Linked DNA regions of Astyanax mexicanus. The main gene of each other region encodes a partner of the protein of the gene in region 2 in a complex. Links are inferred from orthologs where the notes say so. Each region holds a gene or a part of one and is shown on either strand. Other genes may lie near its edges. The genes, in order: herpud1 and os9.

Evidence for each region.
Region 1: os9 (region 2) and herpud1 share a complex: the UniProt entries of both Homo sapiens proteins name them as parts of the HRD1 complex. The link is inferred for Astyanax mexicanus from reciprocal best matches to the Homo sapiens genes OS9 and HERPUD1.

The regions. Positions count from the first base shown.
Region 1 is NC_064416.1:22,556,358-22,572,736, reverse strand, and holds the start of herpud1 (homocysteine-responsive endoplasmic reticulum-resident ubiquitin-like domain member 1 protein), read right to left. Parts: upstream 8,806-16,379; 5' UTR 8,499-8,805; coding exon 8,343-8,498; intron 6,388-8,342; coding exon 6,310-6,387; intron 5,395-6,309; coding exon 5,317-5,394; intron 4,813-5,316; coding exon 4,619-4,812; intron 4,413-4,618; coding exon 4,308-4,412; intron 3,882-4,307; coding exon 3,522-3,881; intron 2,403-3,521; coding exon 2,273-2,402; intron 693-2,272; coding exon 492-692; 3' UTR 1-491. Other genes in the region: slc12a3 (solute carrier family 12 member 3), read right to left, coding at 10,929-11,070, 11,265-11,332, 12,030-12,165, 12,277-12,363, 12,597-12,708, 12,921-13,022, 13,263-13,325, 13,497-13,579 and 6 more. UniProt on the Homo sapiens protein: Component of the endoplasmic reticulum quality control (ERQC) system also called ER-associated degradation (ERAD) involved in ubiquitin-dependent degradation of misfolded endoplasmic reticulum proteins.
Region 2 is NC_064412.1:17,469,807-17,486,816, reverse strand, and holds the start of os9 (protein OS-9), read right to left. Parts: upstream 7,097-17,010; 5' UTR 7,053-7,096; coding exon 6,903-7,052; intron 5,375-6,902; coding exon 5,198-5,374; intron 5,089-5,197; coding exon 5,025-5,088; intron 4,777-5,024; coding exon 4,700-4,776; intron 4,611-4,699; coding exon 4,512-4,610; intron 4,372-4,511; coding exon 4,170-4,371; intron 3,989-4,169; coding exon 3,824-3,988; intron 3,737-3,823; coding exon 3,627-3,736; intron 3,249-3,626; coding exon 3,206-3,248; intron 2,933-3,205; coding exon 2,841-2,932; intron 2,753-2,840; coding exon 2,531-2,752; intron 2,166-2,530; coding exon 1,928-2,165; intron 1,059-1,927; coding exon 852-1,058; intron 1-851. UniProt on the Homo sapiens protein: Lectin component of the HRD1 complex, which functions in endoplasmic reticulum (ER) quality control and ER-associated degradation (ERAD).

The DNA.
Region 1 (16,379 bases), on a different chromosome or scaffold from region 2:
TCATTGTCAATCATGCTTCCATCTAGATTAGATAAGCCATGGGCCACTCATGAGTTTAATCCCTGGACCCTCATCTTCAAGCACTCATGGAAAAGTCCTGCTGACAGGATGAGCCCTGCATTCGTCTAAAAGACTTATGCTGCCATAAAGATGATCTAAAGTGCTGTGCAAAACTGTACATTTGTATATTTACAACTGTATTCAGCACGTATTTACATTATATACAATACACTACTGTTTGGCCAAGGAGGGAAGAGATGAGGTTTTTGGTCACAGCGCCAAACTGTTTGAAAGTGCTGATTGTGTGATTCCTAAGCTTCACTCAGTGAATAAAAAGTGAAGACTAGACCAGGGATCACACATAATGTTTGCAAAGTCCCATCAAAATCAACAGAGTCCTTTTACAGAAGACCTGGATGGTGCTCCTTCAGAGTGGGCATAACTCTTGCCATATCAGTCCATCTACACGTACGCTTCAGGTTGTACTGCACTCAGTTGGCTACACCCTGAGGAACCTCAGGGATCAAGGAGGCAAAAAAGGCTTTAAAAAAGATCCAGGCTGTCCAGAGAATGGGAGGTCTAACTGGGGATACAGGAACTGCGGTCATAGAGGGCTGAACAACAGCTTCCTCCTCAGCCTCTGCCTCAGTCTCAGCCTCCTCAGTGTTCTCTGCTTCAGCAGGGGCTGCCACCTTTAAAAACACAGAGAACAGATGTCTCACATAAATGTTTAATCTGTGCTTTAATAAAGCATAAAAACAAGCATGCAAAAATAGATAAATTGAAATGTCTGAAAAATATCTAATTCACTATTCTCTATTTTAAAAGGTTATCTAGGATAAAAAAAACAATTATTATTTTTTTTTACCTTGGCAAAGTAAATTGCCTATGTCCAATGAAGGTATGAGGTATCTCCATTTTTGCTGATTTTTAGTTTACCGTTCTACATCATTTAAACACATACTGTCCCGTACACTGTGTGAACAATACTTCATGATTGTAACAATAGAAATTCTCCAAAATTACCTAAAATGAACTGTTTTTATATTGACTTCTATTAAAAGTTAAGAACGTTTCATCTCTCTTATGTAAAAGTTGCTGTTTTGGAGAGACACGTTTTTTATTTGACAATGACAAAATAATAAGTGTCTGTGTTCTTATACAAATTAAACCTTTTGTGAAGCTAAATACAACAGCTACAATGTAGAATCAATAGTCAAGGCCAAGACTAGGCAAACTGGAGAAGAGAGAATGAGAGTAAGTTTGTGACTTACTTTGGCATAGGGCTGAGTGAAATGAATCAAAATTAATATCTTGATCATTTTTCTTTTACCCCATTTTAATCTTGCTTACGTAAAAGTAAATAAGTAAATAAAAAGTGCATCTTTAAATCTGGGCTGAAACAGTTTGGGTCTATTCTCATGCCTGTGTGAAGAAGCTGATTGGTCAGTTTAGGTCGGAGGAGCTGTGTCTGCTCTAAGGATCAGTGTTTAGTTCAGTGTTGACACTTCACAGTACTGCTGTTTATTAGCGCTATCCTCTCAGAACATGAAACATGCTCAAGTTAAACAGTCTGTGTTTCAGTAAAAATGGGGTTCTTGGTTCTCATAAATGTTTATAGAGCACACTGTCTGAATGAGCACTATTGCTCTCCTGTATGCGCACAGAAAAATATTTGGTGATGTTTACACACAGAGTCATCTGCAATGCCTTTTAGTGACCCAAGCTTTACACAATACCTTATTCTGCTGCTCAACAGATAATAACCTAGCATTAGTTTTCAGCTTCTCTCCTACTTTTTTCCATCTCCATGCTCTCGCTGCCTGTATGGTGAAGCGATGAGGGAGGGGGAGGTGTGTTCAGCGAGGGAATGGGTGGGGGCAAGGTGAAGTTGTAAAGAAACACTGGGTGAACGAAGCTAATTCTATATACTATATTTTATATCTATAAAATCGATATTGTTTCATTTTATATATCTTAAGAAAATATATCAATATTTATTAAAATCACTCTGCCCTATTTTGGCACTTGTATTATTCAGCATTTGTATTATTGACATATAGATGCTGTCTATTTTATGTTTTTAATGCAACTCTCCGTCAAGATTCAGGGAATTTAAAAGTAACTGTTCTGGTTAAAACTCTGGCAATAAATCCAAAGGTTATGTACATCCACAACCTTGTGTTATATTGTAAGTATTGTCCAGTTTAACCATCTGATAATGGCAAAAAAATATTATGTAGGACTTTTTTACACAGTTAGGATTCCTCACCGGCTCTGGCTGCTCTTCTTGGTTCAGATTCAGGTTCTGCTGATTCTGAATGACCTCAGGTGCAGGTGCAGGCTGATTTGGTACCCTGGCCTGAGCTCTGTGTCTGAAAGGGAACCAGCCTGCAGTGTGCCTAAAGACAGCAGAGGAGAACAGTTTAGATGCAATCCAGGAAATGTAAGCATAGAGACAGACACTGAACTCAGTGCCTGTTATAGGACACCATGGGTGCTAAAATAGCTTAGCATGTGTTCAGCTGCTGGACTCCATATATCACGACAAACACACTTTTACAGCAATGCAGCTGGAAATATCCACAGAGTCTGTTTACACCACAAGGTCAAGTTTACGGACAGTATGAGAAGGTCAGCTTCGCTCTGTGTGCTTTCAAACCAAGCTAATCATTGCCTTTAAAGAGAGCGTATGGAAAAGCCCGCAATCCGCAGTGCCACGTCTACACAGATAAAGTTTATCTGAAGCTGTAGCAGTGGGTCCTTGAGCTGACACACAGTTCTAATCTGCTCGGAGCAGCTGGAGGGTGAAGAAGAGAGTCCCACACTGTGCATTACTGCTAACACTGCAGTTAGTGCGAGACCCAATGGACAATCATATACAGACAGAGCATGGTGACCATAATGACTAGAGAGAGGCAAGGCACTATAAATGAGCTATTTGACAATAGTCTGCTCTTTCCTTTTGTCTCTTTCCCTCATCTCCCTCCTTCCCTTGTGTGCGTAGGAGAATGCTGAGTCACAGTCCAAAGCTACAAGAAGGCACAGAGGACACCGCTTTCTTGACTATAAACATAGAGCTGTGTCCTCTGAACCAGATATACCAATTATTTTCTAGAAAGTACTAACGGAGTTCATTATTACTGTGATATGCTTTTAATTTTTTTCCAATAATCCCACGTTCAGAAAACAGAGAGAACTCTTAGTGCTGTACTGTAGTACTGTGCTCACGTGGGGTAGAGGTGCTTAAATTAAATTAATTATTTAAATTAATTACCACATTTCACATGATTATCTGGATATCCAACAGCGATATCATACATTGCATTTTTGGTCAAAATCTTGCACTCCTAGCATCTAGCATTCGTTAATGACATAGCATGACGGCCCTAAAAGTGTAACAAGAAGAAGCTAACCCAGACACTTCTTCAGTTTATGGTCCAGTTTATCCACCATAAATACTCAACTAGCTTATTTTTCTGCTTATCAATATGATGCAGTATGCTGTCTGTGCCACTTACAGGTACATGAGGAACAGGCTGCTCATCACTAAGATGAAGCGACTCAAGTTGGAGTAGAAGTAAACGATGCTCAGGAACACAGCAAAACGGCTGGCAGTGTAAACCCAATCAAGCCAATCACGCTCCACGTCATCCTCATCCTCCATTACTGGCCCACCCTGTGCATTCATCCGCAGATTTTGATTGGCTCCTTCCGGGTTGATGAAGGCAGGGTCTGGGGCATTCTGATTGGCTGGCAGGTTGTCAATCGGGCCCTGATTTGGCAGAGCTGCAGGTACAGCAGCTTGATGTTGAGCAACAGGAAGTGTAGAAGGAGCAGGAGGGGCCACAGGAGTAGTGGCAGCTGCCATGGCAGCTTGGCTGAAAGACAAATTACAATATTAAGCATACAGCAATCATGCGCAATTAGGGGTGGGTGATATGGTAAACATATCACAATATTTAAAGACATTTTCACAATATACAATGTTGATTACAACATTCTGACACTTAAAATGTATTAGTAGTGGTGATTCTTTAGTGATTATCACTAATAAAGTCCAGCTCTGGCCAGCTGGCGCCTTTAGAATCTGCATTATTCAATGACAATAGCTTGAGTGATATACATTATTACACACTGATATTGATATAGCACTAATGTTCTAGAGCATAGAAAATGCATCCCAGTTAGAGATTTGGTTGAATGCAATATAGTTCATATGCATATGTATATATTTTACAAGTTTTTAGTGCCATGCTCATGTTGTGAATCGAAAGGAATTAAGAAATAATTAGGTTAATACTTACTACTGCATGTAGTACTGGCGAGCATACATATGCTGCAGCCACAGTAGCTGCTGTGGACTGTACAGTGAGTAAGTAGGGAAGGCTGGATGGTTCATTGCTGCTGGCCTGGAAACAGAAAACATACACTTAAACAAGCAAGGAAAAACATTATCTCTGAAACAGCTAGAATCAGAGAAATGAGACTGTCATTTTGGTAAAATGTTATGCAGGTAAAATGTTCTTTGTTGCATTTTTTAGTACATTTCACCCCCAGAGCCTGTACCAACCACTGACAGTCATTATCAGGCAGACAGGAAACAGTGGGAACTCACGTGGATGTGCTCGTGCCAGTGCCTGTGGCAGGCCATGCTGCATGGGGCACAGCAGGGGCGGGGTGACCCCGCTGTCTGAGGCCGCTGGTGGAGGGCACAGTAGGCACAGATGGCGCTGGAGCGGCAGAGTTTGTGCTCTGCCGAGCGGGAGCTGGAGCTGAAGCCGAAGAGGGCTGCTGCTCTGCTGGTTTGACCTGCACCAGAAATGAGGGACAAAAGTTGATTTGAATACAAAAAAATTTAAAGTGCAATGAGGACACAAAACACATTCACACTGAAACTCTGAAATCTGAAAATAACTGGCGGTTTAAATCTGATGCAAAATTTGTGCTCTCCAGGGGATTATAATGAGTGCAGCTGTGCGATCGTGCTCCTTGCCACCCACTGAGCTAGCACTGCCTTCCTCAGACAGGCTCTAGCACTCACTGAAGCACAGCATGCTGTGATGCCGCGAAGAACAACACTGGTGCTGGTAATGAGACAGAACCTCACAGAAGTGTGAGGAATGCCTGGCAGTGTGAGTTCATTTTTTGTGCACTCCAAAATCTCAGGTCCCCATTTTAACTGTATATTGCAGTCAAAATCTGAAGAACTTACAATAACCTACATTATTATTTTGTATAATAAAATGTATAAAAGTACATTTATATGTATATACTAAAATGGATAAAAAAGATGTCCCCAGAAAAAAAACCTACCTTGGGTATGGCACCCTGCTGAGGACCAGGCTGGGGTTTGAAAGCACAAACAAGGTGAATAATGGGTACGGTGTCCATCTGTAAAGAGATTAACATTAATATTAGATTAAGCTCTGTCAGGTTCAGTATTATAAAGTAGCAAAAACAATTGTGTACAGTGCTTTTGTGTAAACTATTAATGAACAAAATGCATTTAAGATTATTGTTAATAACTGTGGGTGCCATACAAACAAAACTACTATGTGTTATGTAATGTAACATAATAACTGTTTCTAATAAATACTGTCATTCTTTTCAACCCCCTTCATATCCAGACATGTCACAAATTGCAATATTTCTCTTTTGACGTAAAATCTTATTTACAAGCAATAATGTGCAGCAATAATGAGGCTCAAGCTTTAAAGGAATGGAAGAGTAAGAGAAGTTCTGAGCCACTTAAAATGTTTGAGCAAGACTATTTAATAATTCAATCTGATAAAAAAATGCCATTACAGACAAAGAAAAGTTTCTTTCTAAAAGGAGAGCATTTCCAAAACAGAGCGTAAACATTTGTGTGCATGTGTTTTGTGACTGAGGGGCCACAAGGGGTGTTTAGTGCTTCTATGTGGCAGCTGGAACAACAGTAAAAACAGCCTGGCCCTCTGAACATATTTGGAGGATAGGTTTGTTGTCAGGACATGCCAAACTGTCTCAAAGTAGCTTCTTTGGGGCAGTTCATGCTGATGTTACAGGTCCTGTAGGACAGTTCACTAAGTTCATCTAAGTGTCACTGAACAGTTCTCCCAAACATCAAAGGTAAGAGGTCTAGTCATGCATGCTTAAAGGCCTTTGTTTAGTCTGATACATGTATGGCCTTTGTTGTTTGCAAGTTTTAAAGTAACGTCACAAAATCACACAAATAATTAAAAACGTGTAACTGTCTTGAAGAAACATAGCTTTAATAACATTCAGGTGCGTAACCTAACTGAAAACTTACAGATGCCAAAAACTCACCTGTCTGAAAATATCTTTGATATGCAGGTGGTCTGGAAGCAGCTTTCCGGAGTAGATAAGCCTCTGGTCTTTCTCAGGCTGGCAGGAAGAAAGTTAGAAATGTCAATACTAATGTTTAAAAATCCCCAAATATATAAAAGAGTTGTTTTACAGATGATGTTAAACTTTAGGTAATTAAAAGGAATCAAAAAACATGTAACATTATGTATGCAACATAAGCTGTATAACACAGATATTGTGAGTGGTGACAGAGTCACTGGATGTGCTAGGTTATAGTCTTGTTTCTCTGTATAAAGACCTGGTGGCACTTTACAATGTAGAAAAGTGTTTAGTGTTGTTTAGGTTTAGCCAGATAACATCAGCCCAGCTTTTAGGACTGACTAATAAATTCTCCTAATTGACAGGCTCTGCTTTGGGCTTGAGTTAACTGGCAAAACTGATCAATTCTATGTTGTGGAACATCCATCTATTTTTTTGTGTAATATTTCTTATACTTCTGTTTTTATTGCTTTATTTATTTTATAGAATATTTTAGTGCTTATAACACTGTTGCTCATTTTCTTTGGTGTGTTACCAACAAATGTTTTTTGCTTGTTTGTTGAGATTATTGTACTATTTCCCTGTTTATTGCAATTTCTTTAAAACCAATAAAACATTAAATAGAGAATGCTTAAGAATTTTGTAAATAATAATAAATAATGATATGATATTAAATAAAACATCAAATTTTCCAAGTTGACCATGTAACCTAGAAAATTAACTTTAGATTAGACATTAGGAATGTACAATATGAGTGACACTGTTGGAAATTTTGAAACTGTAGCCAAACTGAGAAAACCTGTTTTGGGAAATACCCACAGGAGACATATTAGCTAGCATTAAATAATGCTAAAATGCAGAGAAGTTAACAATACAGCATGAAGCAGCCTATCTAACGCTAGCTGTGGTGGCTAATTGGTTGACGGTCAGCTGACTGACAGGAACAGTGTGTGCGGAGAGCGAAGGAATGTGGTGTACAAAAACAGAGCTCTATCTGAAGCTACATTCGCTATTAGCTAACCAGCTAGTTTACACCGACTTTATGCTACACCAAACGATAAACCGCCCCAGTAGCTAATGTTAACAAATAACTAGCGTTAGCTACCTAACGTTATCAGCTTTATCAAACTTGTCAGTTTAGCTAGGTTTGTTAGCTAACAATGACATTGGCCGGTGTTCTGTCAGGTTGTGCTACCCTGTCAAACCGTGCTTCCTACCATAGTGTAACTTTAAAGGTAAGACGTGTAGCGTTAGGTAGGGTATTAGAATAGGCCAAATCACTGTATAAGGTAAAGTTAAAGTAATATTAGTTGATTAGAAACAATTTATGTATTTGTATATTTTTAATGCAATATACACTTTTGTAACAGTCAGGCATACAATGACATATCAAGTTCTTATTACCTTTTACTGCACCCAAGCAGTATTTTACATATTGTATTATGTAAAACAGCTATAGCTTACACAGCTAACAATGTCAACTTTAGCCGGTGTTCTGACAAGTTGTACTTTACCCTGTCAAATCGTGCTTCCTACTCTAGTGTATATTTACAGGTAAAAATGCAACAACAACAACAAAGCACCATAAAAAGCCCTATATTAGAAAAATGCTCCTGGCAGACGTGTAGCGTTAGGTAGCTAAGGAACTAAAATAGACCAAATCACTGTATCAGGTAAAGTTAAGGTCATATTAGGTAATTAAAAACAGTTTGTGTAACTTTTCATTTTACGTTATATTTGTTTACAATTATTTTTTTTAACTGCCGTATACACTTTTTGTAACACTCGAGTAAATATCATTAACAATATCATCAAAATCTCATGTATAATGGCCCCAAGAAAAACAACAGTATTTTCATGAAAACATTTAAAAAAAATTATGTCGGCGCATGCGCAGTACCGTTCGGAAGCACATATCGACGCGTAGCATAACTCGACAGAACACCGGTCAGCTTCTCGTTAGCTAGTGAGACCATAACACACCCAGGACTTACCGGTTTGGATGGATAAACTCTTGTCAGATGAGTTTTCAGATCCTTCACCGTCCAGTTAATATTTACACCCTCCACCAGCTGGTCGCCATGTATCTGATTGGGTGTTTTAACCACAAGAGATATCTCTCCTTTCTCCTGAACATTCAGGTCCTCCATTCTCTCTGTGTTCTCGTTCTTTCTCTCTTTCTTCTTCTGTCAACAGCTAAGCTATTTAGCTAGCTTGGCTAACCTCGTCAATAACGCTACGGTACCGTCTCCACAATGTTCGCAAAATAAGCCTAATAACCCCCCCAGCCTGGGTTTAAAGAGCAGCTCCGTGTGTATCCAGCTCCCTCGCTCTCCAGTACAGAGTAATAAAGCTGTCCCCCGCGGTTTCGGCTCTCACGGTGGAAGTTGATGGAGGTGAAATACTCGGGCGTGTTGTTTCCAAAACACAGTGTGGCCGCGCCTGATTGGCTAAGAGCCGCTCGCGCTTCGACGTGGAGCCTGTGAGACAGGCAGCGCAGTGCGCAGACTCGCTGCGAGATCCTGCTTAGATAATAAACTCCCCCGAGCCGCGTCACTTCGGTTAGCTACTCTGACCAGTATGATGAAATATCACCTTTATCTTAATGATTCATCGAATAAACCTTTAGAATATATTGTAAAATGTTATATTCTACTCGCAAAATATTTTATTCACAAGCAAAAATTTCAGACCCAAAACTGAGCTTTCCTACATATTTATTTAATTAATTTCCGGTCTTTTTAATTCACTTCTACAATCTTAGTAGCATCAATACAAAAAATAGAAAGTTCTTCTGTTATTATGACTTGTTTTATAATGCTGATCTATTTTTTGATTTATTGATAAGCCTTCCTCAATTAGTGTATTAATGTGTTAAGCCTGAATTATATGCCAGTGAAAAATATTCTTCCTGCAATTTACACAAAAGGAGTCTCTAATAGTCTAAAGTAAAATAAAAATAAAATCCAATTAAAATCCTATTAATATTTTAATAGCTTTTTTTAATGTCCATTTCATTGGATGCCTGTGTTTAACATTTTTATATTAGATTTGATATTGATCTTTTTACTTTACAAATCATCCATAAACAGTAATTGTAACATAATTTAAGTGTTCAGAATCACGTGAAATTAGAAACAAATAGCTCTTACTTGCTTTGTTGGCTCTAGTGCTGCCTTTGCTATGAGCATGTTGGATCCAAGAATAATGGATATTATACATATACATATAAAGGAAATAGTGAATTGATGAACAATGAATAGACCATTAGAAATGCTCTAAAATGACTTAATATGAAAAAAATGACAATGTAATTAAATATTTTTACATTTACTTCCATTAAAAAATATGATGATACAGCACAGAGTTTCTCCCTTAGATATATAGTAATATGGCCCTTTCTAAAAGTGATTTGAGTCTTTTGATAAATAATTACATTATTTAGCAAATATCAAATCAGTTTCCAAAACTATTCAAATCTTTTGATCAAATAGTTGAACATGGTTTGATAGACTCAAATCCTATTTTAAAATAGTTCAAATCAGTTTTTAAAAAAAATAGTTTAAAGAAAAAAGTGTTTCAAATCTTTTTTTTTTTTTTACAAAATTTAAATCTTTAATGTTGGTGATTCAAATTTCTGTTTAAAAGACCAGCATCTCTACAAGTCTTTTAGAATCTGATTTAAATACTTAACAAATGCCTTAAATGTTTTAAAAGGTGATTTGGATCTTTTGAACAATGATCCAAATATTTGAAAAAAATAATTTGAATTACTAAAACAATGTAAGAAGAGGAGGTAACAAGGTAGAAGTACAGAAAGCAGAAATAATCAGAAGGCTAATTGCTTAAATTTTTAATACACTTTAATATAACAAAATGCATTTGATGAATACATTACTGATTTTACTTTACTATGTTCACTGTTTATGGGCTGGACATTATTTGTTGCTGTACATTTTCTTATCCAAATTCCATTACTGGTCAGTTTATGGTTAAAATGCTGCTGTTGCGCAAGTAATTCATCTGATATAAAACTGACATCCTAGTGTGTGAGGAACCGGTGTACGTAGAAAATGTAAGTAAATGCTGGCAGTTTTACACATGCTAATGTAAATGCTGGATTGAAAGTGGGTCCACCACCTAAACATTTACAGTAAAGACCACCCCTATTGTCAAAAAACTGAGTTATAAAATTATATTACTAAACACAACAAAACCTTCAACTTCTCAGATAATATAACATATTCTAGAAATATTTTGCACAGAATTATAGGAATCAAATAAAATATTACATCACTTGGATCAGTCCTATAATGACTCAAACATTTTAGCAACAGTTCATTAGTTAAAAAAGACAAATTCAAGTGCTAGAGTGAGTACCATCTTATTTTACATTTTCTAGAACGGGGATTCATACCCTTTTTGTACTGTGCAACCCCTTTTTAGGGTTTAAAATCAGCATCCCTCTCCTCCAAGGGACTACGTCAGAATCCCCAGATTATGAACCATAGTTCTAGAGGGACCACCAGTCTCCTGTCCTGCACTTCACAGCTGCAGCTAATAAGATTTTGGCAGGTTGATCACTGGCAGTAGAAAGTGAGGACATTCTCCTGGTTCCCCCTGACCAGCAGGACTGGAGGTCGCAGGTCACGGCACACGGTCTCCAGCCAAGCCATGTAGAGTGCACTCGGGCAGGCTCCTCTCCGGCCTATGGGCATGGTCCTGCCAAGCAAAAAGCAAGGATCTCCTTCAGGTAATGAAGACATTAATAACAAAAAATGGATCCTTGCCTTATTAAGTCTTTTGGGCGCAAGTGTCTGTAGAGGCTACTTTTCACATACCAACAAATTCAGCAATCATTAAAAACTGTAGAAGCACTGGGACAGTAAAGCTGTAAAATTCTGATATAAACTTACACAATAATCAATGCAGCATCTCTCGAGTAGTCCTTTAGGACTTCGTTAAGGCGGATCTGTCTGAAAGACTGGAAAAACACACAGAAATGCATAGAAGCATTACAGAAATGCAACAAAATGTCATTATTATTATATTTGCAGTATTTGGATGGTTGTTTTTGTTGTCTTGGCTGACTAAGCAACTTAGATTTGTATCATACACTAATATAATAATAATTTTCATCATATTTCAAGGAAGCTAAAGAATGCTACATTGACTTGTGTGATATGTGTATATGGTCTCCTGAAATGAAAGCAGATTTATGCCAAAGTCATTTGTTCGTTCAGATGGACAAATCTAGCCAGATGCCGCAGGTTATGATCATTACCACACACTGTGCTGTTCATTGTGGGAGGTAATGGCACCTATAACATTTTGCTGTGACCTATGTTCCATACACATGACCCATGTCCCATCCATCTGGCACCTACACTCAAACTCAGATAATTCAGATTGCCTTGCCATGAGCAAGCTTGTGTTCAGTTCACAACACTAATAAAGACGTGGACAATCCCAAGCCGTCTCGTGTGTTCATGCTCGATCTACATACTGCATGTGTAACCCACTGTGTCACATGACCAAAAATCTAATATCTATCGTCTAATTTATTGACAAACTGCATTACTATCACCTTTATGTACTAAGAGCCCATATTGTCATTATATGAATATAGACCAATTTACCTTTTTATATATCTAAATCTTAAAACTTTTTTAAATGGTTACCTTTGCCAAATTCTTTTCAAAATCTTCATCAGACACTGTCCACGGACACTCACTGAAGGTCTGGGCACCTCTTTCTCCATTCTTTTGCATAGCATGTGCCCTGTATGGCCCTAACAGGTCTTCAAACTTCTTAACACTGTCAAAGTCGGGAGAAATTGTCACAATTAGCTGTTACACCATGTAAATGCATATTATGTAAAAAAAGCACAGTGTGGCACAAAAATGTAAGTGAGAAAAGGACTAATACTGTTCAGGCTGAGGTTTCTCGTTGATGTCAGGGAGGATTTGAATCTCATGGAATCCAAGGCGAAACTTGCTGATGAGAGCTGTTAGCCTATAGAGATGAAGAGATAAAGAGAGAGGATCAGAAGGTCTGAGGAAACCAAAAATTTAAAGTGGACAAACCTAAACACTGAGACAATCTGATTAATATTTGCATTTATGTTTTACAGCGTTGATGAATAATAAATAATACAACTTTACGTATTGCTATGTTATTTTATTTCTCTTCACAGTGATAAATGAATATACTCATCCAGATAAGTGTTTCATTTTTGCTTGACTTACTCTTGTTTCTGTTCCTCAGCATGTTGAATCTCTCCTCCCACAAACACTCTCACTTTACACCTGCCCCAGCGCTTCTTACGCTTCAGAAGGTACGGCAGCAGTAGCGTCAGGCCTGACAAAACACAGCATTAGCCAAAGTTGCATCAGTTTTAGACAGCAGTGGTTCTTGAACCTTTTAGACTATATGCCACCCATGAAAGCCCTTGCTTCTTTTTGCAATCTGATGATTGTTTCTGGTCAATGCATTATTACTACCTAGACATCTGTTTCATACTGGGTCTAATTAGTTAAGCATTAAATACAAACAAATGAAAATAGCTTCACCTCCATCATCAAACAGCCAATACACATCAATAGTCTTCTTTTCTTGCTTAGTCTGAAAGACGGTGCTGGGTTGAGTCATGGCTATAAGCGATTCAGGATCCACTGAAACAGAGACAGTTATGTACAATCTGCACAAATATGTACATATATCTTCACACAACAGTCATAGAAAAAAACATTTCACTTGCAGGCCTTATTTTTCTCTTTTTCTTATTTTTATCTCCTATGCATGACTAGACATTCTTTCACAATACAGTCTTCTACTTGGGTAAAATATTTCAACATAACATCTACCATCATCTACTATCACTTAGCTTTACTTTTAACCTGATCTATGCATACTTGATGTGCTGATGTTTCTGGCATCTAGTCCTGGTTCTGTAGCTGGATCAAACCCTGGGTTAACTGCATAAAAGAAAAAAATGCGTGGTTGGAACACAGGTTCTGTGAAACAGTTGCAAATTTAGAATTATATACATATATATATATATATATATATATATATATATATATATATATATATATATATATATATATATATATATATATATATATAAATTACAGAATGATTGTTACCATGTGCTTGCATTTGATAAGACAAATCAAGAACGTCCTTCATCCGCAGAATGCACACTCCATACTGTAGGTCAAATGCATCACTAGGAAAGAGAGTTTTATGTTCATAATGTAATGTACTGCATATCTGTATTATTAAAAATGTAGTTACAAGCAGAAGTAGATGATAAAACCAAGTACTTACTGTAAAATTCCAATATAATTTTCTATGCTGGTTGGTGGACACTTGGTCCAGTTCTTCTTAAATCCCAACATTAAGACGTTAGGCCGGATACGACCTAAACCTGCACCCTGTTGAGGCAAATCAGAATCAGACACAGTGTATACAATCATTGCATATACAAGGCTAGACTTAAACTGAACTGTATTTCTGCTAATGTAAAATGAATGTATTGTGTAGGAAAGCTGAGGATGACCTGCAGCAACATCTGGGTTCCAGTGCGCAGATCATCAGCAACCACTCCATGATAGAAAGACTTGATGCCTCTCTTGTTGAGCCACGCCACATGACTGCTACTGTTGGCAGCATCCACAGCATCAGGTGAAGGTCCTCCCTTTGGGGAAAGGTTTGGCACATATTAGGTTTGTGTATGGATGTAAATGATCCAGTAGAAAGTTGCTTAGATTATGTCATATCTATTTTGGGATACCATTCATACTATAGTACTGGCAGTGATGTATTTATGGGCTGTGCAGATGAAGCAATTGTTTTGGAGCCTGTAGCGCAGCAGGCATGTGTCCCATGGGTAACTACGAATGCAACTATTACCCTACAATAAAACACAAAGGCAACACTGTATTTGAACAGTACGAACAGTTCACATCAGTAATTGAGATGACATTGCATTCTGCCGACATAAGAGCCATGTTATATAGTAAAGACATAAGGACACTGTTATAAAGCAGCATTTTTTAATGTAGTAGATATTATAAGGCCTTTGCTTTCCCTTAAAATATGTTTTTTATGCATAAATGCCTGGGCTTTTTCATAAAACACAGTTTATCAATACAGTGGAGGGTTTTTTTCAAATTTAAAAACATTAAATAAAAAAAAACTCCCAAAGGGTCAGAATATCACTAAAGCCAAATAGCAAAAAAAGAGTGATGAACATTGTTTTTTAAAATAAACTATGATGTATCAAGCCGTAAGTGCCTTTTGCCTGTCCAAGAATAAGACAGACCCTTTTATTAGTTTCATTCTTATTGCTACACAACAATTAACTGCTGTTATGATAAATGCCAAATGTTTCCTCACTATTCTATCCTCTGCACAATTGTCCACACATATAAAGCAGTGGTGATTCTTGTCTCAGTTGGTATGGCCGACCGTGACTGACACAGACGGCCGATAGTGGTTTGATTATCACACACAGCTTTCAAAGTAAATACCAAATTCAAAGCTTGTCTGAATGACTCTGAACTGCTCTCCCAAAACTGTTTGCAGCATTTTTGCTTCCAGATGTGTGAACATAACTCAGGTGGCACAGAGATTTCAGGTCCATTATATGGGAAACTGCTCATCCTGCCTGGCATCTCTAAACTGCAAATAAAGCAGCCATAAAAAGACTGTATCTTGCTGTAAAGTAATTTTTTTCCATTCTGGTAGTTTCAAGGCTCCTGGTTTTAATCATGGTAGCCCATGTGATTGAAAGTTCCTTCACATAACTGTATTGGATATAGTGAAACTTATTTTGCTTTTTGAATTATTTATAATTTTGATAAATGTTCGGATTGAAAATGAACTAGTGTCATTTACTTCATGACATTTACTGGTCTTACAGGTCTGTGTTATAAAAATACATTATTCAATGCTTATTTATGTTATATGAAGTTGTAGTGCAAAGTGCTACCAGACACTTTAACAGTGCATATTTTTAGAATATTATTGGTTGTGTTTTTTTCTCTGTTCAGTGTAGCATTATTTTGTGACCAAGGGACAAAGCAAAAGTCATGGCACACAATACTAGTTCCTGTCCCACTTGCTATTGGGCATGAAAGCAGAGATATAAATACAAATACATGCAAATACCTTTCTAAACTTAGATTAAGAAAGAGAGAAAGACTTACAACAACAATGTTTCCACACAACATCAAACTCTGGTTTTTGGTGAAGGTACCTACAAAGTCCACCAGAGCTGGCCGCAAACTGGGTGGCCCAGTGAGAACCAGACACTGAGGTCTAAGAGGTAAAAAGAGAAGAATGAAAGCGGAACACAGAAAATAAAGATAAAGAATAAATGTCAGAAATATAAGAATTACTTAATAAAAAAAACACCTGTAGTTCTTTATGTGTTCTTCTACTTGGTTGAGACCCACACACTGGGACAGTGCCATGTTATAGGAGCCTGCTTGCACTGAGGATCCCCAGTTTACAGCTAAAATGAAAAAGAAATCAGCAGTTACTCAGAAAGAACATGGGCTTGACTGGGCAACTTTTTGTTTCTGATTGTGTACTGATCTTACATGGTTTCTTGTAAAGCACGTATGCCAGCAGAAAGATCACTATCCCTATGGCTATGAGAGCGGCCCACCAGGTGAGGAGGAACATGATGATGACCGACACCACAGCACCCACTAAAGACGCCCACTTACTGTAGAAGCGGAAAGAGGGACGCCAGCCTGCACATAAACACAATGAAAGTCACATGTGTCTTGCAGTTATGAACTGCGCTACAGGTCGAAATGAGTCAAAACAGCCATAAAGCACTAAACTTTCATACTTGGATATATAATATTTAGATGTCTTAAGCATCAGATTGTGAGTATCTGGAAATTTATGCATACAGAGTTCCTGCTAGTGTGGTGGGACTGACCAGGAGAGTTGGTGATGGAGGCATGGAAACAGCTGAAGTTAATGAGGGCGTAGGAGCACAGGAAGAAGTT
Region 2 (17,010 bases):
TATGGTGATTTTTGAAGTAAACCTTGACACTGGGTCCAATTTTCCATTAGCCTTTTCTCTCGGGAAGCAATACCTGAATCAGCTAATTTGGATGTCAGATTAAAGGGAGGAATCTGTTTTTTGCTTTGATTACCCAAACAAAGAATACAGTAACTCAGCCAGCCAGTTTCTCAATAATTAAAGAACAGAATACCAAATTCATACAAACTCATCCCCTTTCAGTGGATTTAGAGCTTAATAACATGGCACATTGTAAAACAAATATTTCAAATGATCCACCAAAAAACATAAATCCTCAAAAACTAAATAAGGTATAATACTGTTGGCAAAATTATTTCCATGAATGGCTAAGATGCTATTTTACATCAGGCAAGTTCTGTGTAAAATTATTACAGTATTACAATAAGTAAAATTGTCCTAGCATTACAATAAGTAAAACAAGCAAGCAGGCCTGTCACAATGTGTTTTTTTTTTTATATGGAGATACTTAAAGTAAACATGTTTTATCCATTTTTTATCCATCATGACACGCTTAAGTTGCTGTCAAACCACTCCCAAAAAGACCAAATGCAAGTCTTTCTAAAACGATCTCAAAACAGCAGTCACACCGATTCTTACAAGAAATTAACTTCAAAGCAGTGCAGCAGTCACCCGATTTGATTAGAAGCAGCAAGACAGAGAAGAGAACAGAAATTATGTGAAGTGACTAAGAGCTTACAGTGGTCATTCAGAAAAGGAAAGGCAAGGGTTAGTCAGGAAAAGCCAAGCCAAAGAGAGAGAGTTGAGCTAAACTATATGAACACACACAGGAGGACAGCATTTAAAGTGTGTGTGTGCACTTTCTGGCCTACCTTCGGCCTTGATGCCAGCCTTTCCTAGCTGCTCTGTGACCACATCCTTAATCTGCTGCCACTGGGGGTCACTTTCGCCCAGCTCTCGCACCTGCACACCTCCCTCACGACCATCGCCCCCGGCAACCGCTCCCGCAGCCACGTCTCCACCCACCTTATACTTAGTCACCCTGATTTTTACCTGCTCCCCATTGCCAAGCTCCCGTGCTGAGGTGACAAGACACAGAAAGGGGGAGGGAGGGGGGGGTTACCCTATATGGCGGGGGATTAAAAAAAAAGCTACCCTTCCTGTTTTCCAGTATGTGGTTCACAACTCAATGGTGAAATTATTTTTATTTATTGAGAGATGAGGTGATAGGTGTTTCATAAACGATCACACTATCACAGGGAAACAAAAGCAAAGTCAGAAACAGTGAATGCTGACAGATTATGAACATGATGTATGCTTATCTACATACATCAATTAAGCATTTCTACACCATTATCCATTTTCCAAGTCCATTGAGCATATAAACGACTTTTAAATTTCTATAATTACAGACTGTAGTCCTTCTCTTTCTCTGCATATGTTATTATCCTACTTTTACCCTGTTTCTCAATGTTCTGGACCCCACAAGAGAGACCACCACAAAGTGACACTGGCAAAGTGTTGGTGTTTATTGTGCTGGTATGAGTGGGTCTGTTCCTATATGCTCAGTGGAGCAAGAATAAAAAAAAAATAGATAATGTGTGGAAAAACAAGAAGCGATCATAAATGTTATGCTCGAACAGTGAAGATGCTTATAAACATATGTGATTTAATAAATGTATGAAATGAAAATTAAAAGTAAACATAACATGGAAATATCATTTTCCATTTACACAAAATATGCATCAATTAACCTTATACTGGTTTACTGAATTCTGATTCTGGATAGCCGGTCCAACACATTTTGGTGTCCAATACATTTTTTGCATAATTTATAGGCTCAAAAAATGATTGAGCAGGGACACCAAACTGTGCAGGATACCAGACATCCAGGCCAGAACTGAATCATTTTTCAGCACTTTTTTGACTCACCCATCATTTTGTTTACCTGGGGTTTTGGGGACAAGACTGGGACCACCACTAGCAGAGTCTGTTTCTGTCTCAGGTGGATCTTGTGTGTTTTTTTGTGGGTTTGTATGAGCTTCTGTATCTTCTGATTCTGCATCCTCTCCCGTCCTATCCTCCAAACGATCCAGAAGTTTGCCTAAAGTGTTCTCCAAAGTCTGAGTTGCTTGGGACCGATCAAATTCCCCCTTCAGGCCCTCTGATTCTAATTCCTGCTGAGCCTGAAATGCACACAAAAAAGGTTTAGTAAGTTCAAAGCTTACATTGTGCACCACTCTATAATAAGAACTATATATGCAGCTCAAAAAGGTTAAGCAATAATATATATAAAATAAAACTAAGCTACTGTACCCAGGGTTTTCCATTCCTTAAACTAATCTTCAACAGCTTGCCAAGCAAATACTGGTGTAATAGATCACAACAGAAAGATGAGACAATTTTTTTGGGTCAGCAAAAAAGTAATTTTATCTTCCAGTTTGTGCTATTGCAGCCTGTGATAGAACATTTGTATTGAGCAATTGCTCCTCATGATCGTTTTTTTTTTTTTTTCATTTGATGGGTAGTGGTAAAAGCTGGAAACCAGTACCTCTTCTATGATGTTATCAAACTCTTTCTCCATTTCTTCTTTTATTTCTTCAATCTTGGAAGGAGGCACAGTCAGATCAGCCATTTCTTCCTCAAACTCCTTAAGAAGTTGCTCATCTTCATCTCCTTCCTCTTTGTCAACCTCGGTTTCTTTCATCTTTGCCTCCTCAGGTTCACTTTTTTGTGAAGGTGACTGGCTTTTCTCATTTTTGTGATGTGCCTTCTTTTTTAAAAGAAACACAGCATGGGTTATTTAGATTTCCCTGTATCAGTTTAAACACATGTGAGATGAGACTGCTTGCATTACTCACTTTTTTGTTGCTCTCCCTGAGGTGCTGAACAAACTTCATTAGGTCAGCAGGGTCTGTGATTATTTTAAAATTAAACTTTTCCTCCCCGAATACTGCAAAGACAGAAAGATTATTGAAAAGTTTGTGTTCTCTGAAGTAGCAAGATCATTTCAAACTTCCAGTAAATAACTAAGATTTTTCCGTTTTTTCTCCTTTTTGTTAGAGTATCCTAAGACTGGTAACATGGAGAAGTGTGTTTGCTATCAGTATGTTTGCTACACCTACACTAATCTATCAAGTAAATAAAGCTGAAGTTGCTTTAGAACAACCAGACAATTATTTTTCCCCTTTATCTGTTAAGTTGATATAGACTACATTTTTCTTACGGTCATTGTCTTGAGGCTGGTTTTCCAGAGAATCATCAAACTCCTGCAGAAACATATTTAAACGTCCATTAGCATGGCAGCTCTTGGAATGCTTAATTAGAAAAAATGAACAATGTCAAAACATGCCGAGGTGGTCTTTTTTTCTGTTTTCCTGCTTTTGTTGGAGTAACCATTCCTACAGTCCAGCTTTCAACTTTATTTTGGAGCATTGTTGATTGGATTTGAATGCAGCGTTAGTAAGCTTAGGATGCTAAAAGATCACCACTCCCACCACATAACCTACGCCATACCCTGATGCGCACCTCCCCAAAAATGTAACTATGGGACAGATAGCCGCAATTATTCGAACCTTGTAGTCCAGTACACACATACCCACTTTCAAGGTTTTTAGGCAAACAATGTTCCTTGGCATTAAACATACCTGTGCTTCAGGTGTCTGTTGATCTGTACTCTCTGGTTTGGTGACACCATCCCAGAAATCTTTATCATCTGGCTCCACATTGGCCAATTCAGCCTCTTCCTCTACAGCCTCTGCTCATAAAAAAACAACACACATGAAAGAGAAGGATAATAACAAGAGGAACAAATAACATACGGCCACAGACTTGGAATACTGACCTTTATCCTCAGTCTCTGAGGCCAGCTTATAACTGGATGCTGCAGACTCTTCTTCTATTTTGTCATTTGCTGCTGCTGTCGTCTCACTGGTTTGATCTTTGGACAAAATTTGATCCAGGTTTCTTAGCTCTTCTGAGATCTGCTCCACTTTACGTTTAGTGTCAGCTGAGGACAGACACCAAAGGCCGACATAAGCACCCACCAGCAGAAAAAGAGAAAAGAGAAACATTGAGCATAACAGAGAGGGTGAGAAAGAGTGTGGCAGCATGTGGTAGGTGAAAATGAATTCACAGATTAAATAAAAAAAATAATAATAATAATTATGAATTGTGAGATCTGCACTTACAGACTTGCGCTTTGACATAGTCCATGTACTGCTGAGCACTGAGAGCAGGCTGACACACAATGCCCTGTGGTTTGGCAGAGGAGGGTGGGCGCAGGAGTGGGTGTTGACACGTGCGAGAGGTGTGTATGGTGAGAACATAGCGACAGGACTGAGGTTCATCCACACGAGCAATAAAATCACTTGAACTCTCCTCACAAACAAACTAGAAGAGAAAAAGGCACATTTCAGGTAATCAAATTCCATCACAGCCATAGCAACCACATTTTTATGAAGCAACTTCACATAATCATGAGTGCCCATTTATTTAAATCATTCCTAAATGATTTTGCAAAGAGGTCTCACCCTGACTTCTGACTCCCTTGGGCTGCCATTTAGATCACACTTGGAACCATTGATATAAGACTGGCTGTGGTATCTCTTCAGCTTGTGTTGTTTAGTGGCCTAAAACATAAAGAGAAAATTAGGTATAGTAAATTCTCTCTTATGATATAAAGAGTAATTTTACTATTTTACAAAAAACTAAGCTTTACCTTTGCAGTTTCATTGGTCCAGTCAAATTCTGATTCAAAATAACCCAGGAAGAGGACATCACCCTTGATTTCTGAATCTGAAATAATAACAAATAAAAAAATAATACTTTGTGAAATTAACAGACATGTCTGTAAGGGTGTGCGTGTGTGTATATATACACCTTTTATAATGACAAATGTGTAGTGCTGTTTGCAATGTAATGCTAAACAATATAGAAAAATAATATGTAACAAAAGGTAAAAGAGAGAATGAAAGAGAAAGAGAGTGACATTGTGCGTGTGTGTTTGTTTGTACACACTATATGTTAAAGATTATATACTCCACCTTCCAAATGATACTGTCGAATGTGCTGGCCATAACAGAACTCATAGGTCCACCAGTCTTTGGTCTGTGTGGAGAACATATTAAAAACAATCTCAAAAAAACTTTTTTTCAGACTTTTTTTATTACAAAACAGTTTTTGTTAGACTGTGCACATAAAGAGTTTAGGCTAAAACCTTGACAAGGCAGGGAGCAGTCTGCATGGGCTTCAGGAGCTCAGTGATCCCCGGTCCACTGTAGCCCTGAGAGTCAGCCTCTGGTACAGGATCCTGGTGGAAGCGGACTGCCTGGGCAGGTAAGCGACACTCATACAGCTGCTTGTACTTGTTGGAGACCAACATTACATCCTCCACCTGGCAGAGAAATAATGACAGGGCAAGATAAGTGACATTTGAACACAAAAGCACAAATTATTAGGAAATAGGTATTCTACAGTCTGTTAATTAGTAATATATACATCTTATATATATATATATATACATATATATATATATATATATATATGTATATATATATATATATACATATATATATATTCAAATAACACCAGTTGGGGTTGGATCTTTGCCTGCCGGGAGACGGGCGGCAGTGTTAGGGGGCTAGCTGACAGTACGCCGGCAGTATTAAAAACTGTCAGGGAGCTTCCTGACAGTATTACTACTACGGCATACTGTCAGCTAGCTCCCTGACAGTTTTTAAAACTGCCGGCATAGTGTCAGGAAGCTACCTGACAGTTTTTAATACTGCCGGCGTACTGTCAGCTAGCCCCTTGACAGTTTTTAGCAGTGCCGGCGTACTGTCAGCTAGCTCCCTGACAGTTTTTAGTAGTGCCGGCGTACTGTCAGGAAGCTATAACTCAATAACTCTCAATAACACTTCAGTTTCTGAATCAGTGTCTGTAATTTTGCTATTTATAAGTATGTTTGAGTAAAATGAATATAGCTTTTTTTCTATAAACTACGAACAACATTTCTTCCAAAATCCCCCCCCCCCCCCCAAAAAAAAAAACACACACATTGTTATTTAGAGCATTTATTTGCAAAAAATGAGAAATGGCTAAAATCACAAAAAAGATGCAACAAAACAAGTTCATATTCATAAAGGTTTAGAAATCAATATTTGGTGGAATAACCCTGGCTTTTAATCACAGTTGTTTTCATGCATCTTGGCATGTTCTCCTTCACCAGTCTTAAACACTGCTTTTGGATAACTTTATGCCACTCCTGGTGCAAAAAATTAAAGCAGTTCAGCTTGGATTGACAGCTTGTGATCATCCATCTTCCTTGGTTTGGTAAAATCAAAGAAACTCAGAATAATTTTTAATAAAGAATAATTTTTAAGTGGTACTCATTTTTTTCCAGAGCTGTAGATTTAACATAACCACACAACTACTCGATCTAAACCGTAGTTAACTAACATAGCAAACAAATAAACAGTTAGTGCTACAGAGGACAGGTGAATACAATTTCCCAAACTAAGCCACATATGATGGAGATGCAATTTCTCTTTTATGCCACACAACAAGCAGAAAGCTCGTATAAGCCAAAACATGCCTGGTTAACAGCACTGTGACACGATATATAAATTACCTAGCAGCTGTCAGACAAGACTAACTAATAACACATAAAGAGGATAGCCTAGCTAACCGTTATATTTAGCCAAGATAATTTAGATGAAGAATAAGAGTGAAATTTATAACGACAGTAAATATTTAGCACCTACAGGCTCTTCCAGATAGACAAGGTAGCGTTAGCTGGTCAGCGAGTCGTTGTTTTTGGTGCTAAGACTGTTGCTGTCTTATCAAAATAACGTTGTAAAGCTAACGAACCAGGCTAATGCTAGCTAACTAGCTTAGCTAACTACCTCAGCCTGCAGACTTACCTGGCCCATGATAACCGGGTCTGGCAGAATCTGGATGCCATATTTCATTTCATTTAATTCCTCTAAATTCAGGAAAGCAGAGGCGAAAAGGAGACATATCAAAAACAAAACATACAGCCCCCTCAAACACCTAACCAAGGAAGCAGCCATGTTTCCCTCACATCCCAAACTGGCGTTGTCAGTTCACTTGTTATTTGTTGTAAGACAACGGACGTGTGCGAAACAGCACGCGGATTGGACAACGTCGAAGAACCTCCCTACGCGATTGGGTAGAGAAAACGTCAGTCAAGCCAGCAGTGTGTTCTCATTGGATAACAAGTTAAACAGGTTATTCCATAGCCACGACAAGGGTATTTATTGGACCGATAATTTAGTTACAGAGCCGGTGTCTATGGAGAGCGTACTACCCATTTACTATCCCCGCCGTTATATTAGAAAATCACTGCAACCGATAGAGGGAGCCATCGAGTGAGTCCAAAATGAATGGGGGTGAATTGAGCTAAACGAATAAAACCTCAAATTAAAAATAATAGCTATAAACTTGTCCAGGATATTCTTTCTGTTTTGAAAAATAAAATGATGTATGTTGTTAAAAAATCTAAGATAACTAATCTATGCATTTTAGTTTTCTTCAGTAAATGGATTTAAGGCAACACATGCGCTAGCATTAGTGCTACTGGGAGCTGACTGGTTGGTGTCAGAGCATGATTACAAGACTTATAACTGGAGTTTAAAAGCTTTAAAAATTATATCTTCCGTACTGAAACATTATATATTGATGTTGTTGGTTAAGGAAATTAGTACATTTTTCAGTATGAAAAGTATTTAACATTTTAAAACTTCAATTTTTATCTTTTGCACCATATTAACCCATTCATTTTCGACTCAATCGGGAGCGCCATCTGGTGTTTAAACAAAACTTTAATAGATTCTCACGAGGTTTTAACCTCTTTATTAGAGATGTTCTGATTTGGCCATTTCAAAAAATTGGTTGGAGTTTCAGCTTTTCAAACCAAGGAGTGGCATAAGGTTGTCCAAAAGCAGTGTACAAGACTGGTGGAGGAGAACATGTCAAGATGTATGAAAACTGTTACTAAAAACCAGGGTTATTCCACCAAATATTGATTTCTGATCTTTTAAAACGTTATGATTATGAACGTGTTTTCTTTGCATTATTTAAGTTCTGGAGTTTTTTTTTTTGTTATTTTAGCCATTTCTCATTTTCTACGAATAAACGCTCTAAATGACAATATTTTTTATTTGGAATTTGGGAGAAATGTCTGTAGTTTATAGAATAAAACAATAATGTTAATTTTACACAAACATATTGTGGCGTGGAAGAGGAAGGAAGACCCGTGAGACTCATGATGAATGCTCATAAGCTCTTTTATTAAACAGGCTTGCCACTCACTTACAGTCTTTAACAAGACTAGGAGAGGTAAAACCATTCACCCACAGAACTCTAATAGCCCAAAGGCCACCAACCCAGCTGTGTGTCTCCCAGATGGCAGATCCAGAGTGGTGCCCACCCTCTCTGCATAACCCCTCCTAAGGGAGATGCCCCACCCCTGTCATCCTCGCACACAGGAGAACAGAAACATACCTGCAGGCAGCCACACACACAACCCAGAGCCGCCACATAGCCCCCCTCCCAAGGGTCAGCCGTCCCGGCGACCCCACCAACCCAACACAAACCCCGTGTACAACAGAACTTTTTTTTTTTACAATCAGTTGCAAACAAAGTCATTAAAGCTCACCTTCCGTCGTTTTTTCTTTCATTTTAAAATGTCTAGTTGTGGTCTCTAGTATGAATGAATGACATGTGAGCCGTTTTTGTAAAAAAAAAAGTGCTCAGGTGTCTCTGTATAGCTCTTTTTTAATGGACTGTTTTAGGGGTGTGTCCAAAATGACCGGATTCCAGCTTTGCTCATGAATATTCATACATGCAAACAGCATTGCAAATATCTCTCCTCTGATTGGCTAGGAGCACTGCGACGCCCCTCCACCGCTCTGCCGCTCACTGCCTCCCACCTCCTAACTGATGAGCGGTGATGTTGCGTCGCTTCAGCTCCGCCTCTGGGAGTTTCTCGAGCCAAGGTGGGCTGGTCTGTGAGTTTCTGCCTACGTAGGCAGAAAGATAATTCAAAATTCACCCGTTTTTCGGAGGGGGGGAGGGGGGATTTCTTTGCTTAGCTCCTGCAGACAATGGGGGCTGCAAAACAGTTTAATGTGCAGGTGTACACATTCAACTCGGAGAGACCTACTGTATTCCACAAAAAACAAGAAAAATCGGATTTTCGCGGAAGGTGACCTTTAAGGCGGGCGGGCGGCCTCCGTGCCCGCGGCAGCCTGGAGGGGCCGGGCACGGCACCACCTGCCAGCGGCTCCGAAGAGCCAGAGTTCAGGTCAGGCACGAGTGCAAGGCCGGCAGGCTCCGCACCACAGTGTCTGACAGTCTCGGCCTATAGGGGGCCAGCCTATCACGGTGCACAATCATAGTGCGTCTGCCCCACCGGATCTTATACACCACCTCCCCCAGCCTGGACAGCACCAAGCACGGACCCACCCAGGCCGACTGGAGCTTCGGGCACAGTCCCTTCTTCCGCTGAGGGTTATATAGCCAAACCCTCGCCCCCACCGCCAACAGGTCCCCAAAGCAGCGTGTGTCGTACGCACGCCTCTGCTTCTGTCCGGCAGCAGACTGGTTGGAGCGCGCTAGACGGTGTGCTAATTCCAGCGAAGACATAAGGTCCGAGACAAAAGTGGGCGTGTCCGAAGCGTACCCGCCCCCGTCAGGAGGCGCCCCAAAAGCCAGGGAGACCGGCGTCCTCAGTTCGCGCCCGAACATAAGCAGAGCCGGCGTGAATCCCGTCGTCTCCTGCACAGCGGAGCGACAGGCCAGCAGCACTACCGGCGCTGCCCGTTCGCCGGATCCTCCCAGATATGGCACAGCACGCCGTCGGACAAACTAAAACTAGCCCAGTTGGAGCGCAACGCCTTAGCAATCGGGCCCAGAGGCACCACCTCCCCCCACGACAGTGTGATGTTCGCACTGAACCTGCGACAGGACTGCTCCGAGGCCGTGGTCGCTGACATCAGTATCCACAATGAAACTCTCAGACACCTTCGGATACGCTAGAATCGGAGCATTGCACAGGCGGCTTTTTAGCTCCTCGAATGCCCGCTCCGCCTCGTCAGACCAGCGGAATTTCACACTAGGCTTAGTCAGAGCATGAAGCGGCGCTGCCACGTCCACGAACCCCCTAATAAACCGCCTGTAATACGAGGCGAGCCCCACGAAGCTGCGAACCATTTTAGCGTCTCGCGGCGTGGGCCAGTCACGGACCGCCTCCATCTTTTTGGGATCGGTTTCCACGCCAGCACCGCTCATTACGTGGCCCAGGAAGCTCACACGCTGCCTTAGCAGATTACACTTTGCCGGATTGAGCTTCAGGTTAGCCGCCTGAATCGCGCTGACCACCATTTCAAGGTGAGACAGTGCGGAGTCGAAGTCGGTTCCGTGCGCCAAGACATCATCCAAATAAACGACGCAGCACGACCGCGAACCCCGCATAAAACACGCTCCATAAGACGCTCAAAAGTAGCCGGCGAGTTACACAATCCGAACGGAAGCACCGTGAAATGCCATAGGGCTGAGCCGAGCGAGAAAGCGGTTTTCTCCCTATCCCCCGCCGCGAGGAGTACCTGCCAATATCCGCTCCTCAGGTCTAACGAGCTGAACCAGGCTGAGCCAGACAGCTGGTCCAGCGTATCGTCGATCCTGGGGAGCTGGTAGGAGTCAAGCTTCGTGACAGCGTTAAGTCGCCGATAATCCACGCAAAAGCGCCAGTTTCCATCCTTCTTTTTCGCAAGGACCACTGGGGCCGACCACGGGCTGCTCGAAGGCTCAATAATGCCTGTACTCGCCATCTCGCGGACTAACTGCTCCGCCGCTACGCTTTGCTAACGCCAGACGGTGCGGCCTCAGCCTGATGGGCTGGGCGTCACCCGTGTTTATCGAATGCACCGCAAGGCTAGTTTTAGTACACTCGCGCTCAGACACAGCGAAACTCGTGCGAAAACGGCCGATCAGATCGCGCAAACGGAGTTGTTGGGGACTCACAACTGCGCTCCAGCATCTCCTCTATCGGATCTACACTCAACCACGCATCCAGCGGACCCTCTACCGTATCACGCACCAAATCACACACATTCCCTCCCACCAGTTCACTTACCCCTAACTCGTCACGTATCTCTACGGGGAGTCCAGTCACCAGCACCGAGCCCCGTGCACAGTCAATGATAGCTCCGACGCGTGAGAGCAGGTCCTTGCCCAGAATGCACGGGTCGTTGATGCGTCCTACCCAGAACTGTTGTTGAAAGGGCCCCTTGCCGACATCAATCGTCAACTCCGTTAATCCTAGGAGACCTATAGGATCCCCGGTGACTGAAGAGAGAGCGATGCGCTGGCTGTTGTCAGTCACAAACTCGGCCGCTACCTCCGTCGCTAGCTCGGTCCGTATCAGTGAGACTGACGAGCCCGTGTCCACCAGCGCGTTCACCGTCACTCCATTCAATGTGCATTTCAGGAAATAGCCGCTGAGTCCGGCAATTCCTGCGTCTGTCCGCCACTAGCATTTTGGCGGCCGCCTCCGACGGTTGGCGGCTGAAACGTGTTCTCAGCGCCCGCGTCAGTTCAGGCAGCTCGCAGCGGCACTCGGCGGGGAGCTCGATCAGTACCCTCAGCGCGTCGCCCCGCAGCGCCAGGCAGAGGTTGGCTGCCGTCTCGGCGTCCGTCCAGCCCGCACCGCCCGCCACGATCTCAAGCTGAGCTCCGAAGGCTGTCCAGTCAGCGCTGCCGTCGTAGGGGGTAAGGCGGGGTTGAGCCGTCAAGCCCGCCATCCTGGAGGCTTGCGCCGCCATCATCGCGCCGTCCGTTCCGCGAGTCAGCGCCGCTGCCCTTGCGCCATCCGCTCCGTGAGCCAGCGCCGCCGTCCTCGCGCCATCCGCTCTGGGAGTCAGCGCCGCCGTCCGAGAGGGGGTTACAGCCTTTATTGTACTGTACCGTGACGTTTTACGTGACAGTGCCGCGAGACAGTGTCACGTGCACCCCCTAGTGGTGCAGGCCAGTTACTGCAGTGGCATGCTGTGTCACAGGACAGTGTACTGTGCTGTGACGTTTTACGTGACAGTGCCGCGAGACAGTGTCACGTGTCACGACTGGTGCACGCCAGTTACTGCAGTGGCATACTTTACATGGATGTGACGGTGCTACGTGCAAATAAAGAAATAGAGAGCATTAATTTTGCAGTAGAATGATAACAAATACTTTATATTAACCATTTTTATTCTGCAATGGGTGTTATACAATTTTAATAATGTAATAATAATTGTCCTGTACATTTCATTCGGATGTATTACATGCTCTGATTTTTTGTTTTTTTCTAAAATAATAACTTAATAATATCTTATAAACTTATGACAATGACATAATGATGTAGCACATGTGAGTTTACATGTAAATATACATGATACATATATAAGTGTGTCAGTTCATAAAAAAAAAAAAATACTATTATTACATGCTCTCTGATTAATTAATGCTGTCATGTGCCAGAAACGGCAGACATGCTTTTATCTTAAAAGTCCTTTAGTGGCGCATGTCACTGCTGTTACGCAACTCTTTCATGGTTGCGCGTGGCACTGTCTCGAGATGCTGCTGGTCACTACTTGGGGGTACACGTAACCATAGACTTATAGTAAAAAGTATGACCAAGTGTAGTATTGTATAAAGTAAGATATGTTTTACAATAATATTAATTAGTATAACATTATTAATAGATTTAACTCTAAATAGAGCAATAAGTAGTCTAGTAAATGTAAATTTGAGTAATTTAAAAATCAATTAAGAATACTATAGTATATGCAGTTTAAACTGAATAAAACAGTACAGTAAATACAAGTAGTTAATAAATAATGAGTAGTGATTAGTAGTTTAAATAGCACAATAATGTAATAGTATACTATAAATGAATAAGATACATTTGAACTTTTAGAACTCTTAAGAGCAAATGGTCAAGTACAGCTGCTATTATAGTATGACTGTCTGAATGAATATCCTATGAACTTCACATATTGTCATGCGATTTAAGCAGCTGATTTAACTCGCAATATTAACAGTCAAAAGCACAGCAGCCGTCCTTGATTTGAAATCAGAAGTAACAGCCTGGCTCAGCTAGGTAAAGAGCCGTTTCCCCTTCACAACACTTTTTTACGCGCTGCAAGTGTAAATAAAACTGTCAGGTCCCACTGTCACTGTCTAACTGCTATGTAAAGTATGCCACTGCAGTAACTGGCCTGCACCACTAGGGGGTGCACGTGACACTGTCTCGCGGCACTGTCACGTAAAACGTCACAGCACAGTACACTGTCCAGTAACAGAACATGCCATTGCAGTAACTGGCCTGCACCACTAGGGGGTGCACGTGACACTGTCTCGCGGCACTGTCACGTAAAACGTCACAGCACAGTACACTGTCCCGTGACACAGCATGCCACTGCAGTAACTGGCCTGCACCACTAGGGGGTGCACGTGACACTGTCACGTAAAACGTCACAGCACAGTACACTGTCCCGTGACACAGCATGCCACTGCAGTAACTGGCCTGCACCACTAGGGGGTCCACGTGACATTGTCTCGCGGCACTGTCACGTAAAACGTCACGGTACAGTACAATGAAGGCTGTAACTGCTGCTCCGCCGTCCTCGCGCCATCCGCTCTGGGAGCCAGCGCCGCCGTGCTCGTGTCGTCCTCTCCCCGGCCACGACCTCCGAACAGCCCACTGGCGCCGTCAGGTCCGAGTCCACTCCGCTGGAGAGCCTTGCCTCTAGTCCGTTGGTCCGCTGTCTTCCTCCTCAGCCGTTCGATTTCCCCTGCCAGCAGCTCAATATCTTCCAGCAGGGTCACTTCTGACACCAAATGTGGCGTGGAAGAGGAAGGAAGACACGTGAGACACATGATGAATGCTAATAAACTCTTTTATGAAACAGGCTTGCCACTCACTTACAGTCTTTAACAAGACTAGGAGAGGTAAAACCATTCACCCACAGAACTCTAATTGCCCAAAGGCCACCAACCCAGCTGTGTGTCTCCCAGATGGCAGATCCAGAGTGGTGCCCACCCTCTCTGCATAACCCCTCCCAAGGGAGATGCCCCACCCCTGTCATCCTCGCACACAGGAGAACAGAAACATGCCTGCAGGCAGCCACACACACAACCCAGAGCCGCCACAATATAAAATATAAATAGCAAAATCAGAGGAACCGATTCAGAAACGAAAGTGGTCCCTTATTTTTTTCCAGAGCTAGATATGTATAAGGCTTGTATTTAACTTTACATACACTTAATATGATTGTTTGTATTCTACTCCTATGGCATGTACTGTGGTCTTGTAGTGTAGAAATGGGAATTTTAATAACAATGATTAATATTATTATTTGTGAAAAGCACCTTTCACGTAAAAGCATTGTGAATGTATATTCAGAGTCCCAACATTAACCGATGCCTATTGGGCAATGTTAAATAATGCAAGCATTAAAAAACTCAGCGTTTATTAAATGTTCTTTGCTATTGGGGGGAGGGGAGGAGGGTGGGTTATGGGAGCTTGTCGGAATACGGGTGGAGTGGGAGCAGCGTGGCGGAGGGGATGGCTATTAGCAGCGCTGCAGAGGCGCAGTAACTCCGTTGGAATTAGCCTCCGCCAGAGGGGTAGCTTCACCGTCTACATCCATCTCTCCTTCCATCCCGGTTATATCAGTGGTGGATGTCATGCCACTGGATTTTCTGCCCCCATCAGCAGCGGGCAGTGATTCAATGCAGGGAATTCCGAGCTAATGATTCAGAGGACATTGTTGAGGATTCCAGCGCTGGAAAGGTAAGGGTTATTTATGGCAGCTGATTTTTTTTTTTGCTGCTGGTCTGATTTGATTTCTCCAGGTCTGACGTTTGCAAATGCAATAATTGCAGCTGATAGTCACAGCACTACGCGCACAACGACAGATTTATGCGATTTAGGAAAATGTGATAAATATGGTTTATCATCCAGGGTGGAATTTCGGGCGTTGATGCATCATAACGCGAGCGATAGGCCTGGCATGTAATTTATTTGCTCGTGTTGTTGGGTCTGCTGTGGTCCTGTAGTACTGCATGTGCTGGGTGGCTTACAGCGTATCTCGCGTCGTCCAGTGCAGCTTGTAATAATAAGCCGCGGCGCGTCTCGTGCTGAGTGGTTTTCGCTAAAGCAGGATCGCTGCACATGCCCGCTCTCTGCACATACTGTACATCCCTCTCATGAACTAAGCGTGTTGCTACGATAGCACAGCAGCTCAGGCCTCCACTGCACTTCCACAGGGTCTGCGCATGGGGCTTTAACGAGAGCCTACAGTAATGGGATGGTTACACAGAATTTAAGGCCGGTTATGCAAAGAAAATTAAATTAATAGGCCATTTTTACATAAAGCCTATTGGCTTTGATAGTGGCGATTTGTTTATTACAGGTGAACTTAACGAATGAATGGGTGTGTTTGCATCCAAATCGTCTCTCTCTCTCTCTCTCTCTCTCTCTCTCTCTCTCTCCTTCTCTCTCTCTCCTTCTCTCTCTGTATTTCTACCTCCCCACCCACTAAGAGCCATCACTTAGGATTGTTATTAGCCTTTTAGATGGTCTAATTCAACAGACCACGCCCTACGATAGTGTGAGTAGGCACATTCCTGAACTGGATGCGGAGGAGACTGGCCTCCTATAGGGAGTGAGGATAAGCCATAACCTGAGTTATTGCTTCTTGTTCTTGGTTACTGCCAGGACTAGGGCTGGGCAATATTTAACAAAAGTCATCTCGATATTCTCCAACTATATGAGCGATCCTCCAATACGATTACGATTTTTAGTTCAAATAAACTTCTGTTTTATTTGTAAACAGAGAGTACAATTTTAATGATGCCAAAGCTACTGTTTTCTTTACATTTAATTTAAAACTTGCATGCAGCTTTTATTTAAAATATTAAAATCACGGCCACATTACAGCTTTTATTACGTATAGATAACAATCTCCATTATCTCATTCATTTCACGAATTGCAATGATGTAGCGATGCATGTGAGAGGGTATGGGAATGCATGGGATATGGAATGGTGATGATGAAGACTTTAAACCTGAAGGATTTTTAATACAAGTCAAATCTAGTTATATAGAGAGTTATTAGTAACTTCCCTTATTTAAATAAACTCAAAAGTAAAAACCATGCAGGAAACTCTCTGTTGTATTAGGCTTTCTGGTTGTACTCCGTGGTTATATTTCAGTGTGTTTTTCTTGGTCAGTATAATGTATGTGATACCAGAATGTAGTACTCATGCTTAAACAGAAGGTACAGTAGAGCCCCTGAGAACTAATTGCTGTGGCTGCACTACTAACCTCTCATAATGGCCCTTTCCCTATTGATCCATTCTTATTGACCACGTCTAGAGGCACATTTGTGATCTTCCTGCGTCTAATGCCACGGTTTTTATCCAGAACTGCCTACTGTATATTGCTGTGGATGTCTAAAATGCACTAAAAACACTTACTAACTCAGCTGGCCACTAGCATCATTCATTATTATCTGGTTAAATGTAGGGTCTGACATTTTATGTCAGGATAACATAAAAAGAACATAAATTGGATGTAGAGTAGTGTCAGCAACTATCAACAATGTTGATATTTTTGGTTGGTTTAAAGTTGTTAAGTAAAAATAGTTGTATATGATGTACATTTAGTTGTGAACATTTGTAAAATGTCATAATGCTAATTGACACACTATAAATTTCTAATATTTTAATTTGTTACTTCCAGCCAAAAAGTCTATTTTACGGTGGGGTTTAACATCAACGCAATTTTCATTTTTATCTTAAATTAAACATTTGTAAGAGATGTGTGTTCTTCTGATTTTATATTAACACCCAGAACTTGCTCAGAACATGTTATATTTAAACTTTTTACATTTGGGTTGTGTTTACACACAGAAAAGAACGACACAGAACAGCATTCTTGTTTCGAGAGATTTACTGTTAAAA